Linked DNA regions of Anolis sagrei. The protein of the gene in region 3 purifies or fractionates together with the protein of the main gene of each other region. This does not show direct contact. Links are inferred from orthologs where the notes say so. Each region holds a gene or a part of one and is shown on either strand. Other genes may lie near its edges.

Region 1 (7,249 bases), on a different chromosome or scaffold from region 3:
TTTAACTTAGGGTTCCAACTTTTGTTATGTTAAGAGGATAAATAAAATACAACACACAAAGCTTCCAATTACAGTGAGGAAACTCAAGAAGAAATAGACTTACAAACTCATTTCTCTTTTGAAGTCATCCTCAGGATCATCAGCATCATTGTCAGTGGTTTGATTAGAAGGAGCACTCGTGGTGTTTGTTGGCAGGTAAGAGGTAAGATCAAGCCTTTCAACCCAGTCCAAGTCCCTCTGGAACTCAGATAAGCACTGCTTCAGTCCATTCTAGGAAGAATATGATGTGAGGATTAGAGTAATACAAAGAACTTCCATACACTATTTAATAGTTTTTTCCAACCTAGTGCTCTTCACACATGTTGAACTACAACTTCTTCCAACATGTTCAGCCAATATTGGCCATGCTAGATCTGCATGATGTAGATTCTAGTGCAGCACCTTGGGGAAAGGCTGTGCTGTCATGACAACTAAAACAATCGTATGAAAATCCCCACCCATCCCTAAAACCATCAACTAGATCTTATGCTGATAAAAGCATTCCCTTAAGATTCCCATTAGATATCACACACTGTATTTACTGCTTCCTAGCCAAGGAGACACCAGGTTTTTTTAAAAATAAAAGCTTTTCCTAGTCATAAGCTATAAGCAAAAATGAAGGTGCTTCTGCCTCAACAAGGACAACATCAACAGAAATTGATGCAAGCTTCTCTGTCTTGAAGAAAAAGAATAAATGACCACATTTTATATCCTTGACAGAATGTTTCAAATTGATTTTGCTATGTGTAGCAAATAGATACCAATGTATTTAAATGACCCCCACCTCCAGTTCAATACCATCCGGAGTTTATTTGCAATGACTTCATTCTGGCAAAATACTGGGGTTTTTTTCAGTAATCAAAATGTTCCACTTGGAGAAGTAGATGAACCACACACATGAACTGATTCCACATGGGTCACAGTCATACAGGACTCACCACATTGTTGATAATTTTCGGCCGTCCCTCAAGCACAACATTTAAGCCTGGCTTTAGTGATCCTTTAGAAAACGCCTGCTGGAGCTACATAAAGAAATCTTATATGTACATTTTCTTGGATAGTGTTACCATACACAAATATCAAAAAAGCTTATTTAGTCACCCCTTTGATAACGGAAAGGAATGTGTAAATGCTCAATACATAGAAACATAAGGAGAATGAGGAGAATGATCAAAAGATATAATGTAGTCTTCCAGATGTCATTAGACTACAATTCACATAATTTTTCTCCACAAGGTATGCTAATTAGGGGGAAAGGAAATTGCAGTTGACTATCTGAAGGACCAAACCACACATTCCAGTTCCAAATAGTCAATGCAGAAATCTATTTTATATTGACATGTTCTGACACTGCATTGTCATTTGGTGGACACTTGGTCAAATCTTTTTTCCTCAAGTTTTGACACAATGAGGTTCTTTCATACTCCGTTTCTTGCCTTTAATACAAAAATAACACTATTTAATCGGATATTCTCTCCTATCTTGTTCATGCCTAACATTATTTTTTTTAAACTTTGATTTGGCCCAGCCATAGATTTTAAATGTGTGTTGTATTACTGTCACTGTTTATTGCTTTTTTGTTTATGAGCTTTATTTTAATTGTTTTTATTTTTGTTGTTATTGCTTGTATTGATGTATTTTGGGCTCGGCCTCATGTAAGCCACACCGAGTCCCTTGGGGAGATGGTAGTGGGGTACAAATAAAGTATTATTATTATTATTATTATTATTATTCTAATCGAGATAATCTACATAAAGTTCTTTGCACCTTTAAAATATTGTTCATAAAGATGAAATATCATTAGGTGTTATTGATATATTTAAATACAGTTTCCAGCTTCTATTACTGTGAAATGAAGTTGTGCATCCTACACACAGCTATTACAACAATGTAGCATCCTTGCTCTAAACAAGATGAAAAAATGGCCTTCCATCGCAGCCTATGAAGAGAAATGGTTACCAGGGCCAATCCCAAACTGATATGGAACTCATCTACAACTCTCAGTCCTTTACGTCACTAGTTTATCACAGTGGTTTTCAACCTTTGGTCCTCCGGGTGTTTTGGACTTCAACACCCAGAAATCCCAACCATTTTACCATCAGTTAGGACTTGTGGGAGCTGAAGTCCAAAACACCTGGAGAACCAAAGTTTGGGAAACAGTATATTATCAGATCCCCTACTCAGCCATGCCCCTAAGAGAGAAAAAGTGGCCCGCCCCCACTCCTGCACAGAACAAACAATAACAGTCCAAACTCACCTCACGGTCTGTAACAAGAGACTCATCCGAATCTGAGGACGACGACCAATCTTCGTCCATTTCCATGTGGGGCATCTCAGATCCTTTTATGATAACTGGATTCAACTAAGCTGCACTGAAAGGCAAAATAGTTAGAAAACACATTCCATCCCCCAGGAACATGAGCTAAAATGGGAGTAACTGCACAAATAACCTAAATGCACGAGATCAAAACAACTTATTAATGCAAGCAATCCAAAATACTGGCCAATACAGGTATATACCATAAAAATCCAATCTAACCATCGCTAATAATAAATATGCATCCCATTATGATTCATTCAGACTAGAGTAAGAAAGATAGGTGATTAAATGTTGTATAGGTTGAAAAAAAAATACTATCTTTGTATAAAGTTAGTCTGAACTGTTTCCTCCCCAATTTTGGAAACAGGGTGCATCTACACTGTAGAATTAACGCAGTTCAATATCGCTTTAGTCTTAAACTGCACTCTATGCGAGGCATGGGCAAACTTTGGCCCTCCAGGTGTTTTGGACTACAACTCCCACCATTCCTAACAGCCTACCGGCTGTTAGGAATGGTGGGAGTTGCAGTCCAAAACACCTGGAGGGCCGAAGTTTACCCCAGCCTGTTAGAAGCACACTTACCTCCCACCGACTGAACACGAGGAAACCATACAACAGCTACTTCCGGTACGGATGTGACGTCCTACGGGACATTTCCGATTCGTTTCGGCCATCTTTTTCGAGGGTGCTACATCCGGGACGCTGTTGCCATAGCAACCGGCTGTAAAGCGTTGTCTCCCTGGTCGACTCAAGGCTGCAGACAGAGCAAGCGAGGCCGAGACGGACTGTCAGGCGGTGGTTGCTCTCGTTTTTCCGGCACAGGCTCCGAACCTGCGGCGCCATGTCGGTGATCGTGGCCCAAGCGCTGCACATCTTTGGCTTCCAGTCTCGCGTGGCCAATAACATTTGTTTCTTTGACGAGCAGATCATAGTGTACCCCGCGGGGAATAGCTGCGTGAAGTATCACATTGAGCAGAAATGGCAGAAGTTCATCCCAGGTAAATCTAGCCACCTCCCTCCAGGTGTATTGATGTTTTCATCCAGTGGTTCTCAACCTGTGGGTCCCCAGGTGTTTTGGCCTTCAGCTCCCAGAGATCGTAGCAGCAGTTAGATCCTAACAGCTGGGATTTCTGGGAGTTGTAGGCCAAAACACCTGGGGACCCACAGGTTAAGAACCACTGTTTTAATCCATCTCCATCAGGCATGGGCAAGCTTCGGCACTCCAGGTGTTTTGGACTTCAGCTCCCACAATTCCTAACAGTCTCAGGCCCCTTGCTTTTCCCTCTCAGCCACTAAAACTATGACATCTAACAAAACTAAATCTAAAACAAACACACAACTACTAAAACTATTCTACAAATTTCACATTCAGTGTGGTGTTGTTCATTCATTCAGTCCGACTCTTCGTGACCTCATGGACCAGCCCACGCCAGAGCTCCCTGTCGGCCGTCACCACCCCCAGCTCCTTCAAGGTCAGTCCAGTCACTTCAAGGATGCCATCCATCCATCTTGCCCTTGGTCGGCCCCTCTTCCTTTTGCCTTCCACTTTCCCCAGCATAATTGTCTTCTCTAGGCTTTGCTGTCTCCTCATCATGTGGCCAAAGTACTTCAACTTGGTCTCTAGTATCCTTCCCTCCAATGAGCAGTCGGGCTTTATTTCCTGGAGGATGGACTGGTTGGATCTTCTCGCAGTCCAAGGCACTCTCAGGACTTTCCTCCAACACCACAGCTCAAAAGCATCGATCTTCCTTCGCTCAGCCTTCCCTAAGGTCCAGCTCTTACATATTCAGTGTAAACCTATCATATCATGCAGTTCAATGTCTAGCTGGCCATATAATGCAGTTCCAAGCTGTTTGATATTGCAGAGTATATCCAGCCCCAATCTGTTGATATTTACCCCCTAATTATCCTACTTCCTTTGGATAACACTGTATCACCACACCTCTGTGTTTCATCACATTCCTCTAGTCCAGTGGTTCTCAACCTGGGGTCCCCAGATGTTTTTGGCCTTCAACTCCCAGAAATCCTAACAGCTGGTAAACTGACTGGGATTTCTGGGAGTTGTAAGCCAAAACACCTGGGGACCCACAGGTTGAGAACCACTGTACTACATACTACATTCCCCTTTGGAAATGGGCTGGGGCTGGGGGGCTGGACCCAGACAGAGAGTGTAAGCGAGTAGGGTGTAAGTGAATGGAAGCAATCACAGTGTAGAGGAAAAAGACCTGATGAATGCTATTTTTCCCAAAAGGGATGCCAAAATCTGCCCCTGTTCAGAACTCAGAGGCAGTTCTGTTTTGCCTTCTGCTGTCTATTCAACAAGTTAATATTTTAAGTCACTGGTGAGTGTGTTTCCAGAGGCTATTATTATTATTATTATTATTATTATTATTAACTTTATTTGTACCCCGCTAGCATCTCCCGAACGACTCGATGGGGCTTACAAAGGCCAAGGCCTCAAAACACAACATAACAATACACAACCTAAAGCAAATTAAAAAATTAAAAACAGTTAAAGCAGAATTACACAACAAGCAATAAGCAATACACCAAGACACTGGGCCGGGCCAGAGTAATGGGTACAGATCAAAAGTGCTGAAGTGACAGGTGATATGTAAGGATTATAGAGTAAGTGCAGTGTGCCAGCAATCTTAATTCTAATAAAGTGCTTCTGGGACTTGTTATTGGAGTTTTCCTATTCTGGAAAGGCACAGGGTGGAGTGGGCCTTTTCCAGTCTGTTTCAGTATACATACTGCTCTAGTCCCAGCATGGGCAAACTTCAGCCCTCCAGTTATTTTGGACTGCAACTCCTACAATTCCTAACAACTGGTATTTATTTATCGTGTCAGGAGCGAACCAAAAGGTTGTATTGTATTTTACACAAAGTTTGCAGACTTGGTATTCTATTAAATGTTGTTTGACCAGTAGCTGGCCACTTGGAGTGTCTTAGGTGTTACTATAAGAAGGTTCTCCATTGTGCATGTGGCAGGGCTCAGGTTGCATTGTAGTAGGTGGTCTGTGGTTTGCTCTTCTCCACACTCGTGGACTCCACTTTGTAGCCCCATTTCTTAAGGTTGGCTCTGCATCTCGTGGTGCCAGAGCACAGTCCATTCAGTGCCTTCCATGTTGCCTAGTCTTCTGTGTGCCCAGGAGAGAGTCTCTCATGGTATCAGCCATTAATTGAGGTTCTGGATTTTAGCCTGCCACTTTTGGACTCTCGTTTGCTTAGGTGTTCCAGTAAGTGTCTCTGTAGATCTTACAAAACTATTTCTTGATTTAAGGCGTTGGCGTGCTAGCTGACATCCAAACAGGGGATGGGCCGGAGATGTTACTGCCGTGGTCCTTTCACTATTGGTTGCTACTTCCCGGCGGATGTCAGGTGGTGCAATACTGGCTAAACAGTGTAATTTCTCCAATGGTGTAGGGCGCAGACACCCCGTGATAATGCAGCATGTCTCATTAAGAGCCACTGATTTAGCGTGGTGAGATGTGTTCCACACTGGGCCTGCATACTCAGCAGCAGCGTAGCAAAGTGCAAGGGCAGATGTCTTCACTGTATCTGGTTGTGATCCCCAGGTTGTGCCTGTCAGCCAGTAGGCTGTTAGGAATTGTGGGAGTTGAAGTCCAAAACACTGGGAGGGCAGATGTTTGCCCATGCCTGCCCTAGTCTAATGCATTGAAGATTTCCCCCATCATTGCTGTGAATTGGTGGTTCAATTGCATTGAACTATGGCAATTAAAGTGATGTCAAACTATCTGCATTTTACAGTGTAGCTGTACCCGTAGATATGGTTCTGCCAGTTCCTTCCTTTGAAATGTAACCCACACACCTGATATTCATTGGCAGTCTCCCATACAATACCAACATGCATTGATTTATTGTCATTTTGGATAACAAAAATGTTTAAGTTTCCAGGTTATGCTCATGGAAGTTTTGCTTGTATGTGCACATGTGTGTTTGCTTTACAGGCTCAGAGAAAAGTCAAGGGATGCTTGCACTGGCAATTAGTCCAAATCGGCGCTATCTGGCCATTTCAGAGACACTCCAGGATAAACCTACTATCACAGTTTATGAACTGTCCTCTGTCCCATGCAAGAAACGAAAGGTCCTGAACTCCTTTGATTTCTCTGTCCAAGAATTTATCAGCCTGGCATTTTCCCCGGATTCTAAGTATCTAGTGGCACAGACAGGGGCCCCTGATTCACACCTTGCCTATTGGATGTGGGAAAAGCAAAGAACAATGGCTATTATTAAGGTTGATGCTCAGAACAATCCCCTCTATCAGGTAAGATGAAAGACAAAGATGAATATCCTGGGTAGGCCACATTTAAATAATACTCAGGTACTTACTCTCACTGCATTATTACTTCAATGAATACTTTTTCACAATTGGAGACCACAGTTAGTGAAGCTGTGATTGTTACAATGGTGTTAACATGAAATCCAAGCTCCAAACTTCCTTTTGCACAATGTTTTCCTGTACTCAGAAGGCAGGGTACACACATATTTTAGATCAGCAGTTACACTTAAGGCAGTACTGTCCTGCTCTTCCAGTTACTGAATGTATATCCAGTAGTCTTTGTTCATAAATTGCATGTCCCCAAAATAGTCCAAACCTAGAATTAGGTCTCGGTTTGAGATTGTTGTGATAGAACCCCATCACTATAAAGAAGCGCAGGACAGATTTCAAAGCACTAACAATCCAGTCTAGAAATTCCAGTATATGAAGCTGCCTTAGGTTAGTCATTTTGATGATGGCTCGGCTCTGCTCATGAAATTGGCATTATGTGTAAACATTTCTAATGGAATATCTCAGGTATAGAAAAGTAGAGATTTCCATAGTTCCGGTTCAGTCCTTGGGTGCTTATTTTTTTGTATTTTCCTTCAC
Region 2 (7,918 bases), about 190 Mb from region 3:
TTTGCCATATTTATTGGAAACCACCCTAAGTCCCTTCGGGGAGATAGGGCGGTCTATAAATAAAGTTTATTATTTAAAGCACGACCTAAAGAACCAAGCTGGATTTATTCATGAAGTGTTTGTCACCACAACATGAAAGAACCTCGACTAGAAGCCACTGAATACACAAGAAAAATAAATAAATGTACTTACTAGCATCCATATTCTCGATGACATGTACAAGCTGGGATATATTGTTTGATAAAGCCTCCTAAAGAAAGAGAATTTTAGTATACTATACTGCAGAAGTAGATTCCTCTTCCTTTTGAAATAAAAACCCAAACATAAACAGCCCTTTGTGAATTTCTTCCAATTAAATAATCAAAAAACAAAGTCAATTACACCAAAATCAAGTCAATTAAACCAGGCTTTTCAGTCACATGTAAAAACAATCTGAAAGAGGAGAGAGCAGAAGACTGAATATGAAGCCTAAACTGCGTGGAATGACAGATCCAGAAACAGCATATGCGACTACAAGAAACTGAAGCTACAGATGTACTTTCAAATTCTGGAGTCGCTATAATAATATAATAACTTTATTCTTATATCCAGCCTTCATATCCCCGAAGGGACTTGGGGCGGCTTATATGTGGATCAAGCCCATTATAAACAAAGATTACAAAGTAGCACAATTAAAAACATATAACAGTCAACTATATTAAAACAATAAAACCAATAAAATGCAAGACATCATAAAACATAAACATAACAAACAACCAGTAGCCGGAAAAAGTGGGCATGTGCAGATATGAGACTAATAAGGCAGGAGAAGGGCTTGTGCAAACTGTAGGGCCAGGGCTGGGAATAAAATGATAGAGATCCAACCAAAAGATTAGGGCTAGGCAGACTTGATCCGTAGCTAACACATACACACACTTTACAATTCATCCCACAGAAATATCAAGTCTACTCTTGGAACCCTTTCCCCCAAAAACATAACGCATATTAATGTATTGTATCATAGTGACTTAAGAAATTTAAATTAGAAAAAATTCTTTATTTAATGCCTAGGTAAAAGTAAACAGTTATTTCTTCCTTTATGCATATACAATGCCAGATCTACAGGCCTTCATATTTCAGGATACATGGGAACATATTGCTGAGGCATGTTTGTAGTGATAAATAATATGCCATAAACCAATGGGATAAACAGATTTATCTATCCTAGCACCAATAAAGCTGGAGATAGCTTAGACAGGGTACAGGGAGCCCACAACTCCTTTGTTGCGCCAGCTCCACTGGCTGCCAATTAGCTTCTGAGCACAATTCAAAGTGCTGGTTTTAATCTACAAAACCCTATACGATCCCAGCCCAATTTACCTGTCCGAACATCTTCTCCCCTATGAACCATCAAGGCTGTTAAGATCTTCTGGAGGGGCCCTTGCTCTCGGTCCCGCCAATTTTGCAATCGCGCCAGGTGGGAACGAGAGACGGGGGCTTTTCTGTGGTGGCCCCCGGCTATAGAATTCTCTCCCGAATGAGATCAGATCTGCCCCCTGCCTCCTGACCTTCAGGAAGCTAGTGAAATCCAGGCTATGGAATGAAGCATTCCCAGAATAATGGCCAAGACCAGCAATAGACTAAAGTTATTGACCACATATGAGGACCTAGTTGGACATGATTTTATCTTGGTGAATTGGCTTATATGTATTTTATTCTATATGTATTTTAATCTATTGTTGATGAATGATGTTTTAGATTGTACTGTTAGCATTGAATCCTTGCTGTTAGTTGGTCTAAGTCCCTCTACGGAGGTAGAGAAGATCGGGATACAAAAGTTGCAAATAAATAAAAAAATAATAGACCTTACACAGGTTCAGTATTCCTTCTGTGAAATGCTCGGGACTTGACATGCAATAACAATAAAATAATAAAATTCTATTTTTACACCACTTCTCTCCTCGAAGAGACTCAGGGAGGTTGTTCCCCTGAAATATATTACACATTTCAGGTTTTTAAAAATTATTTTGAAATACAGGAAATCCATGAGATACAGATATCCAACCTACATATGACTCCTAGTTACAAACGGGGCGAGACAACAGGAAGTGAGAGAAATCTACCCCTTGGAAGGGAAATTCACTCCTTAAAGAGCTATCATGGAGAAAATATTCCAAAATCAGGGCAGCCCCAGAGAGAAGCCTCTGCATAGAACGTGAAAGATTTATTTTCTAGGAAAGAGGCATAGCAATTGACTACACATTAACAAACAGCGTAATTACATCTTTGTATTACAATTTTGCATTGACATTTCTGTTGGCCTACCTGAAGGAGGGGTTTATCCTGCATCCACATGCAGTAAAACAGGCCTTTCCATATTTTCAATAATTCTTCTTCACTGAAGCTCCCTGAAGGCACCAAAAGCAAACTGAGCATTAGAGAAAGCCACAAATTTCCAAGTGCTTCACATAATGTGTATCTATATATCATAGGATAACGTGTGGCTTGATAATTTTGTATAAGGGGATATTCAATAAGACTCTAGGGCAGGCAAGGGACAACTTGGGGCCTCCAGGTGTTTTGGACTCCAACTCCCACCATTCCTCACAGCCTCAGGCCCCTTTCTTAAGCGGCTGAGGGGGAAAAGAAAGGGTCCTGAGGCTGTGAGGAATGGTGGGAGTTGGAGTCCAAAACACCTGGAGGCCCCGAGTTGGCTCATGCCTGCTCTAGACCAACGTAGCTGACAGGGCAGACTCCTCCACGTGCTCCCCGCGCCTCTCACCGGCCGGGTTCTGGGTCCGGAGCGTGATGTAGCCCCGCAGCTTCTTCAGCGCCCGGTCCCGGATCCGCTTCTCGTTGGCGGCCAGCCGCTGGGCGAACTGGATCTCCGGAGCCTGCGCGGCGGCAGGAGAAGAGGAAGAGGAGGACGCAACGGCGGCGGGAGCCATCATTCGCGGCCGAGCATCGCCCTCCTCCTCCTCCTTGCGGAACGCAACGCAACGCCCCCGGGGGCGGGGCCAGGCCGTTGCATCAAGCGCCTGCGGATGACGACATAGAACCTCTCTGTCGCGAGCGTTTTACGTAACCCGGCTCGTTTTCAAGAGGGCCTTGCTGCGCGTGCGCGGAGGGCAGTTGAGCGATGGCTCTGCTAGTTGTGTATCTTCAAGCCATTTCTATAGATTCATAGTTTGACTGAGAAACCTTCTTAATCTGGTGTCAAACTGCATTAATTCCACCCAAAGTGGAATGGAAATGCTCTACTACACACACACACACATATATAAATAATTTTTATTCCTCTTTGGATGAAATCAATGTTGTACTATATCTATAATATTTATTTATTTATTACTGCGCTTGTATATCGCCGTTTCTCAGCCAAAATTGGCGACTCAACGCGGTTTACAACTCTACAAACAATCAACAATATTCAGTTTAAAAAGCATAAAAACAACATACAATACATAGTATTGGGCCACCAATACAATCCAATGCATCTCTTAACTAGAATCGTAGTCCAATTTCATCGTCCATGATTACCAGTCCTTAATCATCAATTTCTTTGCACCGGATTAACCGAATGCTTGTTTGAACATCCATGTCTTCAATCTTTTCCGAAACACCATCAGCGAGGGGGCTGATCTTACCTCTATGGGGAGGGCGTTCCAAAGCCGAGGGGCCACCACAGAAAAGGCTCTGTCTCTCGTTCCCGCAAGCCGCACCTGTGAAGCAGGCGGGATGGAGAGCAGAGCCTCCCCAGAAGATCTTAGGGTCCTGGTGGGCTGATAGGCCGAGATATGTTCGGATAGGTAAGTTGGGCCAGAACCGTTTAGGGCTTTAAAGGCCAACCTTGAATTGGGCCCGGTAGCAGATCGGCAGCCAGTGGAGCTGGTGCAGCAGAGGAGTTGTATGCTCCCTGCGCTCCGCTCCCGTTAGTATCATGGCTGCCACCCGTTGGACTAATTGGAGCTTCCGAGCCGTCTTCAAGGGCAACCCCACGTAGAGAGCGTTGCAGTAGTATAATCTAAATGAGCCCCCGGTGGCGCAGTGGGTTAAAGCACTGAGCTGCTGAACTTGTTGACCGAAAGGTCACAGGTTCAATTCCGGAGAGTGGCGTGAGCTTCCACTGTCAGCCCTAGCTTCTGCCAACCTAGCAGTTCGAAAACATGCAAATGTGAATAGATCAATAGGTACCGCTTCGGCGGGAAGGTAACGGCGCTCCATGAAGTCATACCGGCCACATGACCTTGGAGGTGTCTACGGACACATAGGGAAACATGTCTTAGAAATGGAGATGAGCACCACATGTCTCTACTCTTAGCAAGATTGGTCATTGCTATCCTCCCAAGAAGGAGACATCTGATTTCCTGGCTGCAGTCTGTGTCTGCAGTCATCTTTGTGCCTAGAAATACAAAGTCTGTCACTGCCTCCACATTTTCTCCCTCTATTTGCCAGGTATCAACCAGTTTCTTCTTTCACCTTGGTTATAAGGCTCCTCAGCTGCTCCTTGCTTTCAGCCATAAAGTGGTATCATCTGCATATTTAAGGTTGTTAATGTTTCTTCCAGAAATGTTAACTCTAGCCTTGGATTGGTCAAGCCTCGCATGCCGCATGTGTTATGCATACAAGTTGAATAGGTAGGGTGGGAGTATAAAGCCCTGCATACTCCTTTCCAAATCTTGAACCAGTCAGTTGTTCTGTGGTCTATTCTGCTGTTTTTGGTCGTTATACAGATTTCTCAGGAGACAGGCTTGGTATCCCCATACATCCAAGAATATGCTACAATTTATTATGATCCACACAGTCAAAGGCTTTAGAATAGTCAATAAAACAGAAATAGATGTTTTTGTGATACTCCCTGTCTTTCTCCATTATCCAGCGGATATTGGCAGTGGTTCTGGCCCAACTTACTTGTCTGAACTGTGCCGGCAGGACTGAAGATCGACAGGTCACAGGTTCGAATCCGGGGAGAGGCGGATGAGCTCCCTCTATTAGCTCCAGCTCCTCATGCGGGGACATGAGAGAAGCCTCCCACAAGGATGATAAAACATCAAAAAAAAATCATCCAGGCGTCCCCTGGGCAACGTCCTTGCAGACGTCCAATTCTCTCACAACAGGAGCGGTTGCTCCTGACACGAAAAAAAAAAACTTGTCTGAACGCATCTGCCTCTACGTCCCACCTCGTAACCTAAGATCACCCGGGGAGGCTCTGCTTCTCGCTTCCACCAACATTGCAAATGTGGCTGGTGGGGACGAGGGACAGGGCCTTCTCGACCCCATCCCTCCTGGCTTTCAGGAAGAAAGTAAAATTGTGGTTGTGGAACCAGGCCTTTGGTCAGCAGACATAAAGCAGCACTTTGGTTGAAATGGACTGGAAAGTCGATTTACATGAGGATACGGTTTTATTGGTAATTAAGATTTTATACTGTTTAATTAATGGCTTATGTATTTTATGTATTGTAATGGTTTGATGGTTTTGTTTAATGGTTATTGCATTAGATATTCATGTAACGGCATCGACTTGCTGCCAATGTAAGCCGTCCTGAGTCCCCCTTTCGGGTAGAGAAGAGACAGGATATAAATACCATAAATAAATAAATAAATAAATAAATAATTGTTCTGCCGCCTTTTCTAAACCCAGCTTGTTCATCTGGCAACTCTCTCTCCATGTTTTGCTGGAGTCTTCCTTGCAGGATCTTGAGCATTACCTTGCTGGCATGTGAAATAAGGGCCACTGTACGAAAGTTTGATCATTCTTTAGCGTTTCACTTTTTTTTTTGTTCATTCATTCAGTCGTCTCCGACTCTTCGTGACCTCATGGACCAGCCTACGCCAGAGCTCCCTGTCGGCCGTTACCACCCCCAGCTCCCTCAAGGTCAGTCCAGTCACTTCAAGGATGCCATCCATCCATCTTGCCCTTGGTCGGCCCCTCTTCCTTTTGCCTTCCACTTTCCCCAGCATAATTGTCTTCTCTAGGCTTTCCTGTCTCCTCATGATGTGGCCAAAGTACTTCAACTTTGTCTCTAGTATCTTTCCCTCCAGTGAGCAGTCGGGCTTTATTTCCTGGAGGATGGACTGGTTGGATCTTCTCGCAGTCCAAGGCACTCTCAGCACTTTCCTCCAACACCACAGCTCAAAAGCATCGAGACTGGACATTGCTCTCCTCCCAAGAAGTAAGCGTCTTCTGATTTCCTGGCCACAGTCTGCATCTGCAGTAATCTTTGCACCTAGAAATACAAAGTCTGTCACGGCCTCCACGGTTTCTCCCTCTATTTTCCAGTTGTCAATCATTCTTGTTGCCATAATCTTGGTTTTTTTGACGTTTAGCTGCAACCCGGCTTTTGCGCTTTCTTCTTTCACCTTGATTAGAAGGCTCCTCAGCTCCTCCTCGCTTTCGGCCATCAGAGTGGTGTCACCTGCATATCTGAGGTTGTTAATGTTTCTTCCAGCAATTTTCACCCCAGCTTTGCATTCATCCAGCCCCGCACATCGCATGATGTGTTCTGCATACAAGTTAAAAAGGTTGGGTGAGAGGATGCAGCCTTGCCGTACGCCTTTCCCAATCTTGAACCAGTCTGTTGTTCCGTGGTCAGTTCTGACTGTTGCTACTTGGTCCTTGTACAGATTCCTCAGGAGAGAGACAAGGTGGCTTGGGATGCCCATCCCACCAAGAACTTGCCACAATTTATTATGATCCACACAGTCAAAGGCTTTAGAATAGTCAATGAAGCAGAAGTTTTTCTGAAACTCCCTGCTTTTCTCCATTATCCAGCGGATATTGGCAATCTGGTCTCTCGTTCCTCTGCCTTTTCTAAACCCAGCTTGAACATCTGGCAACTCTCGCTCCATGTATTGCTGGAGTCTTCCTTGCAGGATCTTGAGCATTACCTTACTGGCATGAGAAATAAGGGCCACTGTACGGAAGTTTGAGCAGTCTTTCGCATTTCCCTTTTTTGGTATGGGGATATAAGTTGATTTTTTCCAGTCTGATGGCCATTCTTGTGTTTTCCATATTTGCTGGCATATGGCATGCATCACCTTGACAGCATCATCTTTTAAGATTTTAAACAGTTCAGCTGGGATCCCATCATCTCCTGCTGCCTTGTTGTTAGCAATGCTTCTTAAGGCCCATTCAACCTCACTCCTCAAGATGTCTGGTTCTAATTCATTCACCACACCGTCAAAGCTATCCTCGATATTGTTATCCTTCCTATACAGATCTTCTGTATAGTCTCGCCACCTTCTCTTGATCTCTTCAGCTTCTGTTAGGTCCCTGCCATCTTTGTTTCTTATCATACCAATTTTTGCCTGAAATTTACCTCCAATGTTTCTAATTTTCTGGAAGAGGTCTCTTGTCCTTCCTATTCTGTTGTCTTCTTCCACTTCCATGCATTGCTTATTTAAAAATAGTTCCTTATCTCTTCTGGCTAACCTCTGGAATTGCGCATTTAACTGGGCATATCTCCCCTTTTCACTGTTTCCTTTTGCTTTCCTCCTTTCTTGGGCTACTTCCAGTGTCTCAGCAGACAACCATTTTGCCTTCTTGGTTTTCCTTTTCTTTGGGACGTACTTTGTTGCCGCCTCCTGAACAATGTCTCGGACTTCTGTCCATAGTTCTTCTGGGACTCTGTTTACTAAATCTAGTCCTTCAAATCTGTTCTTCACTTCCACTGTATATTCGCTAGGAATGTTAGTGAGATCATATCTAACTGGTCTGTGTATTTTCCCTGATCTCTTTAGTTTTATTCTAAATTGGGCAATAAGAAGTTCGTGATCTGAGCTACAGTCAGCCCCAGGTCTTGTTTTCACCGACTGGATGGATGTCCGCCACCTTTGGCTGCAAAGGATGTAGTCAATCTGATTTCGGTGTTGACCGTCTGGTGAGGTCCATGTGTAAAGCCGTCTTTTAGGTTGTTGGAAGAGAGTATTCGTTATACAC
Region 3 (7,873 bases):
AGTACAATACAATGCAATACAATATTATGAAAAGATTGTGATTCTCTGCATGGCAGGAGTGGTTGGACTGGAAGGCCTTTTGGGGTCCCTTCCAAGGAATATAAAGGCCAATTAATACAGGCCAAAGGTTGTAAAGGTTGAAATTGCCATGCAATGCAAAGTTTATAATTTTCTGCATGGCAAAAGGGGGTTAGACTGGATGGTCTTTGGGGATCCCTTCTAAGGAATATAAAGATATTCCTATTTAGATACAGTTAAAATGTTTAAAATAAATAAATAAATGGCAATTAATACAGGCCAACACAGTACAATATAATACTAAAAATTTCCTACATGGCAGAAGGGGGTTGGAGTGGATGGCCTTTGGGGGTCACTTCCAAGGAATATAAAGAGCAATTAATACAGGCCAACACAATACGATACTACAATTCCCTGTATGGCAGAAGGGGGTTGGATTAGATGGCCTTTGGGGGTCCCTTACAAGGATTAGAAAGTACTATCAATACAGTCCAACAAAGTATGATACAATGCAATAAAATAATATGAAAAGGTTGTGATTCCCTGTATGGCAGAAGGGGATTGGAGTGGATGGCCTTTAGGGGTCCTTCCAAGGAATATAAAGGGCAATCAATACAGGCCAACATGGTACAATACAATGGTTCAAATTCCCTGCATGGCAGAAAGGGGTTGGTCTGGATGATCTTTGGGGGTCCCTTCCAAGGTTTAGAAAGTGCAATGCAATACATAAATTTCGCACATGGCAGAAGGGGATTAGACTGGATGTCCTTGGGGGGGAGGGGGTCCCTTCCAAGGATTAGAAACCATTATCAAGGCAGGCCAACACAGTACAATACAATGCAAAGGTTCCAATTTCCTGCAAGGCAGAAGGGGGTTGGACTGGATGGCCTTTAGGGATCCCTTCCAAGGAATATAAAGGGTAATCAACACAGTACAATATGATATAATAATACTACAATTCCCTGTATGGCAGAAAAGGGTTGGACTGGATGGCCTTTGGGGGTCCCTTACAAGGATTAGAAAGTACTATCAATATGAAATGGCTATAATTCCCTGCATGGCAGAAGGGGGTTGGACTGGATGGCCTTTAGGGTCCCTTCCAAGAATTAGAAAATACAATACAATACCATGAAAAGGCTGTAATTCCCTGCATGGCTGAAAGGGTTGGACTGGATGGCCTTTAGGGTCCCTTCCAAGGAATATAAAGGGTAATCAACACAGTACAATATAATAAAACACTAAAATTCCCTGTATGGCAGAAGGGGTTGGACTGGATGGCCTTTGGGGGCCCCTTCCATGAAATATAAAGAGCAATTAATATAGGCCAACACAGTACAATACAATATAATACTACAATTCCCTGCATGGCAGAAGGGGGTTGGATTGAATGGCCTTTGGGGGGTCTCTTCCAAGGAATATAAAGAGCAATTAAATCAGACCAACAAAGTACAATACAATATAATACTACAATTCCCTGCATGGCAGAAGGGGATTCGACTGGATGGCCTTTGGGGGTCCCTTCCAAGGATTAGAAAGTACTATCAATACAATAATATTAAAAGGCTATAATTCCCTGCATGGCAGAAGGGGGTTGGACTGAATAGCCTTGGGGGTCCTTTACAAGGATTAGAAAGTATTATCAATATAACATGAAAAGGTTGTAATTCCCAGCATGGCAGAAGGGGGTTGGACTGGTGGCCTTTAGGGATCCCTTCCAAGGAATATAAAGAGCAATTAATACAGGCCAACACAGTACAATACAATACAATTCCCTGTATAGCAGAAGGGGGTTGGACTGTACGACCTTTAGGGGTCCCTCACAAGGATTAGAAAGTACTATCAATACAGTCCAACAAAGTACAATACAACACAACAATATGAAAAGGTTGTGATTCCCTGCATGGCAGGAGGGGTTGGACTGGATGGCTTTTGGGGGGCCCCTTCCAAAGAATATAAAGAGCAATTAATACAGGCCAACACAGTACACTACAATATCAATACAATATGAAAAGGCTATAATTCCCTGCATGGCAGGAGAGGGTTGGATTGGATGGCCTTTGGGGGTCCCTTCCAAGGAATATAAAGGCCAACACAGTACAATATAATGCAAAGGTTTGTTTACATTCCCTGCATGGCAGAATTACAGGTTGGACTGGAGGGTCTTTTTAAGGGGTCTCTTTTTCTTTTGAGCAAAACCCAAAAAGGGGGTTGGACTGGATGGCCTTTAGGGGTCCCTTCCAAGGAATATAAAGGCCAACACAGTACAATATAATGCAAAGGTTTGTGTACATTCCCTGCATGGCAGAATTACAGGTTGGACTGGAGGGTCTTTTTAAGGGTCCCTTTTTCTTTTGAGCAGAACGCGAAAACCACGTGGAAGCCCCGGAAGCGAGGCCTAGGCTGAGCATTTCCTCTCCTTCCTTCCTTCCATCACCCACGTGGTTTGAGATCACGTGGCTTCGGGAGAGCAGGCGGGAGAGGGAGAGTGCGCGCGCACACCGCTCCTTGCTCGCTCCTCTTTCCTCCCAGCCCCTCCCCTCTCCGTTGGCTGCGCGCGCCGCTCAACACAGAGAAAAGGGGGAAAAAAAGAAAGAGCGCGGGCGCCTAGAAACTCCTGCGCGTATGCGCGCGCGCTCGCTCTTTTCCTTTTAGAAGAAAAAAAAGGGGGGAGTCCTAGAAACCGCCGAGCGTTCTATTTCGATCTGCGCCTGCGCGCCAAAATAAATAAATAAGTAGTAGGAAAAGGGAGAAGGGGAGTCTTGAAACTGCTGCCTCCTCGCTTGTGTAGAAGCGAAGGAACGGGAGGCCTTGAAACTGCTGCGCACGCGCACAAGGCCTACTAAAAAAAAACCCTTTCCCCCCTTCATTCGTTGGGTTTCCTTCCATTCTAAATGAGTGAGGCTAGGCCTCAAAGCCTCACCTTGGCGAGTTTCACCATGATGGCGGCGCTGGGAGATGCCCGGATGTGGAGCGAGGCCTACAAGGAGAGAGAGAAAGAAGGGACCGCCGCGCTCTCCAGTCTCCGCCAAAAGCGAAAAGAGCGAGGTCGAGGGCTCGCCGCGCTCTCCCTCACGCCCCACGCTGCCGCCTCAGCCAATGGGAGACCGCGCAGCCCCAAGCTCCGCCCACTCCGGGCTTTCCCCCACACCAATCCCGCGTCGACTCGCTCCGCCCAATCAGACACCGCCCCTGAACTCGAGGGCGGGACGACACGTCGCCGAGCCAATAAGATGACAAAACTGGGAATTCTACGCTTCCTGATAGGTCCGTTTCGCAGAGACGGAAGTGGTAAGGAGAACACGTGGCGGCGCCCTCTGCCTGCAACCGCGTGGGGTCGGCCCATTTTGTGGCTCTGGATCCGGTTTGTTCTTGTGTGTCTGTAAGCCAGGCATGGGCAAGCTTGGGCCCTCCAGGTGTTTTGAACTCCAACTCCCACAATTTCTAACAGGCACAATTCCTAACAGCCCTCCAGGTGTTTTGGACCCCAACTCCCACCATTCCTAACAGCACTCTAGATGTTTTGGACCCCACCATTCCTAACAGTACTCTAGGTGTTTTGGACTCCAACTCCCACAATTCCTAACAGCCCTCCAGGTGTTTTGGACCCCACCATTCCTAACAGTACTCTAGGTGTTTTGGACCCCACCATTCCTAACAGCACTCTAGGTGTTTTGGACTCCAACTCCCACAATTCCTAACAGCCCTCCAGGTGTTTTGGACTCCAGTTCCCACCATTCCTAACAGCCCTCCAGGTGTTTTGGACTCTTAAACCCCACTATTCCTAACAGTCACAATTCCTAACAGCCCTCTAGGTGTTTTGGACTCCCACCTCCCTCCATTCCGAACAATCCTCCAGGTGTTTTGGACTCCAACTCCCACAATTTGTAACAGCCACAATTCCTAACGGCCCTCAAGGTGTTTTGGACTCCAACTCCTACCATTCCTAACAGCCCTCCAGGTGTTTTGGACTCCAACCCCCACAGTTCCTAACAGCCACAATTCCTAACAGTTCTCCAGGTGTTTTGGACTCCAGCTCCCACCATTCCTAACTCCCACAATTCCTAACAGCCCTCCAGGTGTTTTGGACTCCAACTCCCACAATTCCTAACAGCCCTCCAGGTGTTTTGGACTCTTAAAGCCCACTATTCCTAACAGCCACAATTCCTAACAGCCCTCCAGGTGTTTTGGACTCTTAAAGCCCACTATTCCTAACAGCCACAATTCCTAACAGCCCTCCAGGTATTTTGGACTCCAACTCCACATTTCCTAACAGCCCTCCAGGTGTTTTGGACTCTTAAAGCCCACTATTCCTAACAGCCACAATTCCTAACAGCCCTCCAGGTATTTTGGACTCCAACTCCCACATTTCCTAACAGCCCTCCAGGTGTTTTGGACTCTTAAAGCCCACTATTCCTAACAGCCACAATTCCTAACACCCCTCCAGGTGTTTTGGACTCCAACTCCCACCATTCCTAACAGCCACAATTCATAACAACCCCCCAGGTGTTTTGGACTCCAGCTCCCACAATTTGTAACAGCCACAATTCTAACAGCCCTCCAGGTTGTTACCTCACTACCTCTGAGGATGCTTGCCAAAGTGCAGGCGAAACCTCAGGAGAGAATACCTCTAGATCAGGGGTCCTCATACTTTTTAAAAAGTGGGCCAGATCACAATACCTCAAATTGTTGGAGGGCCTAACATGAATGAATATTATGCACGCAGCACATATTTTATTTGTAGTGCAAAAAACTACAATAATTAAAATGAAGAACAATTTTAACAAATATAAACTTATTAATATTTCAATGGGAAGTGTGGGCCTGCTTTTGGCTGATGAAATAGGATTGTTGTTGTTGTTGTGTGCTTTCAAGTAGTTTCAGACTTAGGTTGACCCTGAGCGAGGGCCGAGTAAATGACCTTGGAGGGCCACATCCGGCCCCCGGGCCTTAGTTTGAAGACCTCTGCTCTAGACCATGGCCATACAGCCCAAAAAAAACTACAACCCAGCCCTCCAGGTGTTTTGGACTCCAACGCCCACTATTCCTAACAGCCACCATTCCTAACAGCCCTCCAGGTGTTTTGGACTCCAGCTCCCACCATTCCTAACAGCCAGTAGGCTGTTAGGAATGGTGAGAGTTGGAGTCCAAAACACCTGGAGGGCTGTTAGGAATGGTGGGAGTTGAAATCCACAACACCTGGAGGGCCCAAGTTTGCCCATGCCTGTTCTAAGCCCTTCCACACAGAATATCATGGCAGACCATCCACAATATCTGCTTTGAACAGATATTGTGGATATAATCTGGTTCAAAGCAGATAATGTGGGATTTTATTCAGCTGTGTGGAAAGGTCCTCTGAATGTCAATATCAGTTTTAGCCTATAAAGCCTAATTTACAAAATTTAGCCTATAAATATCCATATCAATTTTAGCCTATAGAGCCCTAAATGGTTCTGGCCCAACTTACATGTCCGAATGCATCTACCATTATGAATCATCTAGGACCTTAAGATCGTCTGGGGAGGCCCTGCTCTCGTTACCGCCTTCGTCACAAGTACCTTTGGCGGAGACAAGAGACAGGGCCTTTTCGGTGGTGGCTCTTTGGCTGATGAACACTCTCCCTATAGATATTAGATCGGCCACTTCCATTTTAACATTCTGGAGAAAAGTCAACAAGCGTTTGCAATTACAGAGTAACTGACATAGGACAATGGAACGACTGGAACGACAAGCTGGAATGTGTCCAGAGGAGGGTGACTAAAATGATCAAGGGTCTGGAGAACAAGCCCTATGAGGAGCGGCCTAAAGAGCTGGGCATTTTTAGCCTGCAGAAAAGAAGGCTGAGAGGAGACATGATAGCCATGAGAGGAAGTCCTAGGGAGGAGGTAGCAAGCTTGTTTTCTGCTGCCCTGGAGACTAGGATGCAATGGAACAATGGCTTCAAACTACAAGAGAGGAGATTCCATCTGAACATGAGGAAGAACTTCCTGACTGTGAGAGCTGTTCAGCAGTGGAACTCTCTGCTCTGGAGTGTGGTGGAGGCTCCTTCTTTGGAAGCTTTTAAACAGAGGCTGGATGGCCATCTGTCAGGGGTGATTTGAATGCAATATTCCTGCTTCTTGGCAGAATGGGGTTGGAGTGGATGGCCCATGAGGTCTCTTCCAACTCTTTGATTCTATGAAAGGAGATTCCATCTGAACATGAGGAAGAACTTCCTGACGGCGAGAGCTGTTCAGCAGTGGAACTCTCTGCCCAGAGTGTGGTGGAGGCTTCTTCTTTGGAAGCTTATAAACAGAGGTTGGATGGCCATCTGTCAGGAGTGCTTTGAATGCAATATTCCTGCTTCTTGGCAGAATGGGGTTGGACTGGATGGCCCAAGAGGTCTCTTCCAACTCTAGGATTCTATGACTAGACAATGAGTCCGGACAACATTTTTAACAAGGAGACACTATGAATTTATATTTTATTGATTTGTTTAGTTTTTGTTATATGTTATGTTTTTAAATTGTATTTAAGACATTGTAAGCATTGAATTTTGCCCTGTTAACTGCCTTGAGTCGCCTATGGCCTGAGAAAGGTGTATACAAACAACAAATAAACAAATCCACAATATCTGCTTTGATCTGGGTTATCTGGCAGTGTAGACTCACACAGCCATACGACCCAGAATATCAAGTCAGATAATGAATGAATGCAACTTAATTTCTATCCTGCCCTGTTTATCTCCGCAGCGGGGACTCAGGGCGGCTTAAAACATAGGCCCCTTTCATGCATCTGAATAGAACCCCACATTTTCTGTTTTGAACGGGATTATATGGCAGTATGGATTCAGCCCAATTCAAAGCAGATATTGTGGGGTTTTCTGTTTTGATATTCTGGGTTATATGGCTGTGTGGAAGGGCCCAGAGTCCACATTGCCTGATAATCCAGTTCAATGTGGATTTTACACAATTGCAGGTGTTGATTTCCAAATTTGGCTTCTTTCTGTGCTTCGGAATGGATTTTCATATCTGTTGGAAGACTGATACTTGAACATCAAATCCAGATTATCTGCTTTGGAATGGTGTATCGGTCATATAATCCAGCTTGAAGCACATAATGTGGGTGATCTGCTTATATGGCAGTGTAGATCCAGCCCAATGTTCCTACTACATTGTCCTTATATCCTAGGATCTGATCCCAGGTTGTCTGCTTTGAACTGGATTATATGCGGTCCCTTCCACAGAGCTGTATAAATCCACATTGAACTGGATTATGTTGCAATGTGGACTCAGATAACCCAGTTCAAAGCAGGTATTGTGGATTATCTACCTTGATATTCTGGGTTATATGGCTGTGTGGAAGGGCCCAAAGTATCCACTGCCATATAATCTGGGATATTTATTTTTATTTCAAATATGTGTACCCTGCCCTTCTCAACCCCAGGGGGAGGGGGTCGACTCAGGGCGGATAAATAAAATAATCTGGGATAAGATAATATGGGATCAAATCCAGGGATATAGAGGAAGTGTAGAAGGGTTCTACATGTCAGGCCCCCTCTACAACATCATATATTCCAGATCAGGGGTCCTCAAACTAAGACCCGGGGGCCAGATGCGGCCCTCCAAGGTCATTTACCCGGCCCTCACTCAGGGTCAACATATAGAATCATAGAATCAAAGAGTTAGAAGAGACCTCATGGCCCATCCAGTCCAACCCCCTGCCAAGAAGCAGGAAAATTGCACTCAAATCACCTCTGACAGATGGCCATCCAGCCCGTTTAAAAGCTTCCAAAGAAGGAGCCTCCACCACACTCCAGGGCAGAGAGTTCCACTGCTTAACAGCTCTCACAGTCAGGAAGTTCTTCCTCATGTTCAGA

What was found.
Region 1: the proteins of NCL (region 3) and EBNA1BP2 purify together in Homo sapiens (affinity purification with mass spectrometry; 3 studies listed by BioGRID and IntAct, with this or other methods). This does not show direct contact. The link is inferred for Anolis sagrei from reciprocal best matches to the Homo sapiens genes NCL and EBNA1BP2.
Region 2: the proteins of NCL (region 3) and RRP1B purify together in Homo sapiens (affinity purification with mass spectrometry; 3 studies listed by BioGRID and IntAct, with this or other methods). This does not show direct contact. The link is inferred for Anolis sagrei from reciprocal best matches to the Homo sapiens genes NCL and RRP1B.

What each region holds. Positions count from the first base shown.
Region 1 is NC_090024.1:183,206,367-183,213,615, reverse strand, and holds the start of EBNA1BP2 (probable rRNA-processing protein EBP2), read right to left. Parts: upstream 3,015-7,249; 5' UTR 2,942-3,014; intron 2,412-2,941; 5' UTR 2,372-2,411; coding exon 2,297-2,371; intron 1,062-2,296; coding exon 978-1,061; intron 271-977; coding exon 104-270; intron 1-103. Other genes in the region: CFAP57 (cilia- and flagella-associated protein 57), read left to right, coding at 3,201-3,357, 6,330-6,646. UniProt on the Homo sapiens protein: Required for the processing of the 27S pre-rRNA.
Region 2 is NC_090023.1:75,837,159-75,845,076, reverse strand, and holds the start of RRP1B (ribosomal RNA processing protein 1 homolog B), read right to left. Parts: upstream 3,015-7,918; 5' UTR 2,931-3,014; coding exon 2,762-2,930; intron 2,388-2,761; coding exon 2,305-2,387; intron 251-2,304; coding exon 193-250; intron 1-192. UniProt on the Homo sapiens protein: Positively regulates DNA damage-induced apoptosis by acting as a transcriptional coactivator of proapoptotic target genes of the transcriptional activator E2F1.
Region 3 is NC_090023.1:267,120,148-267,128,020, reverse strand, and holds the start of NCL (nucleolin), read right to left. Parts: upstream 3,098-7,873; 5' UTR 2,957-3,097; coding exon 2,939-2,956; intron 1-2,938. UniProt on the Homo sapiens protein: Nucleolin is the major nucleolar protein of growing eukaryotic cells. It is found associated with intranucleolar chromatin and pre-ribosomal particles. It induces chromatin decondensation by binding to histone H1.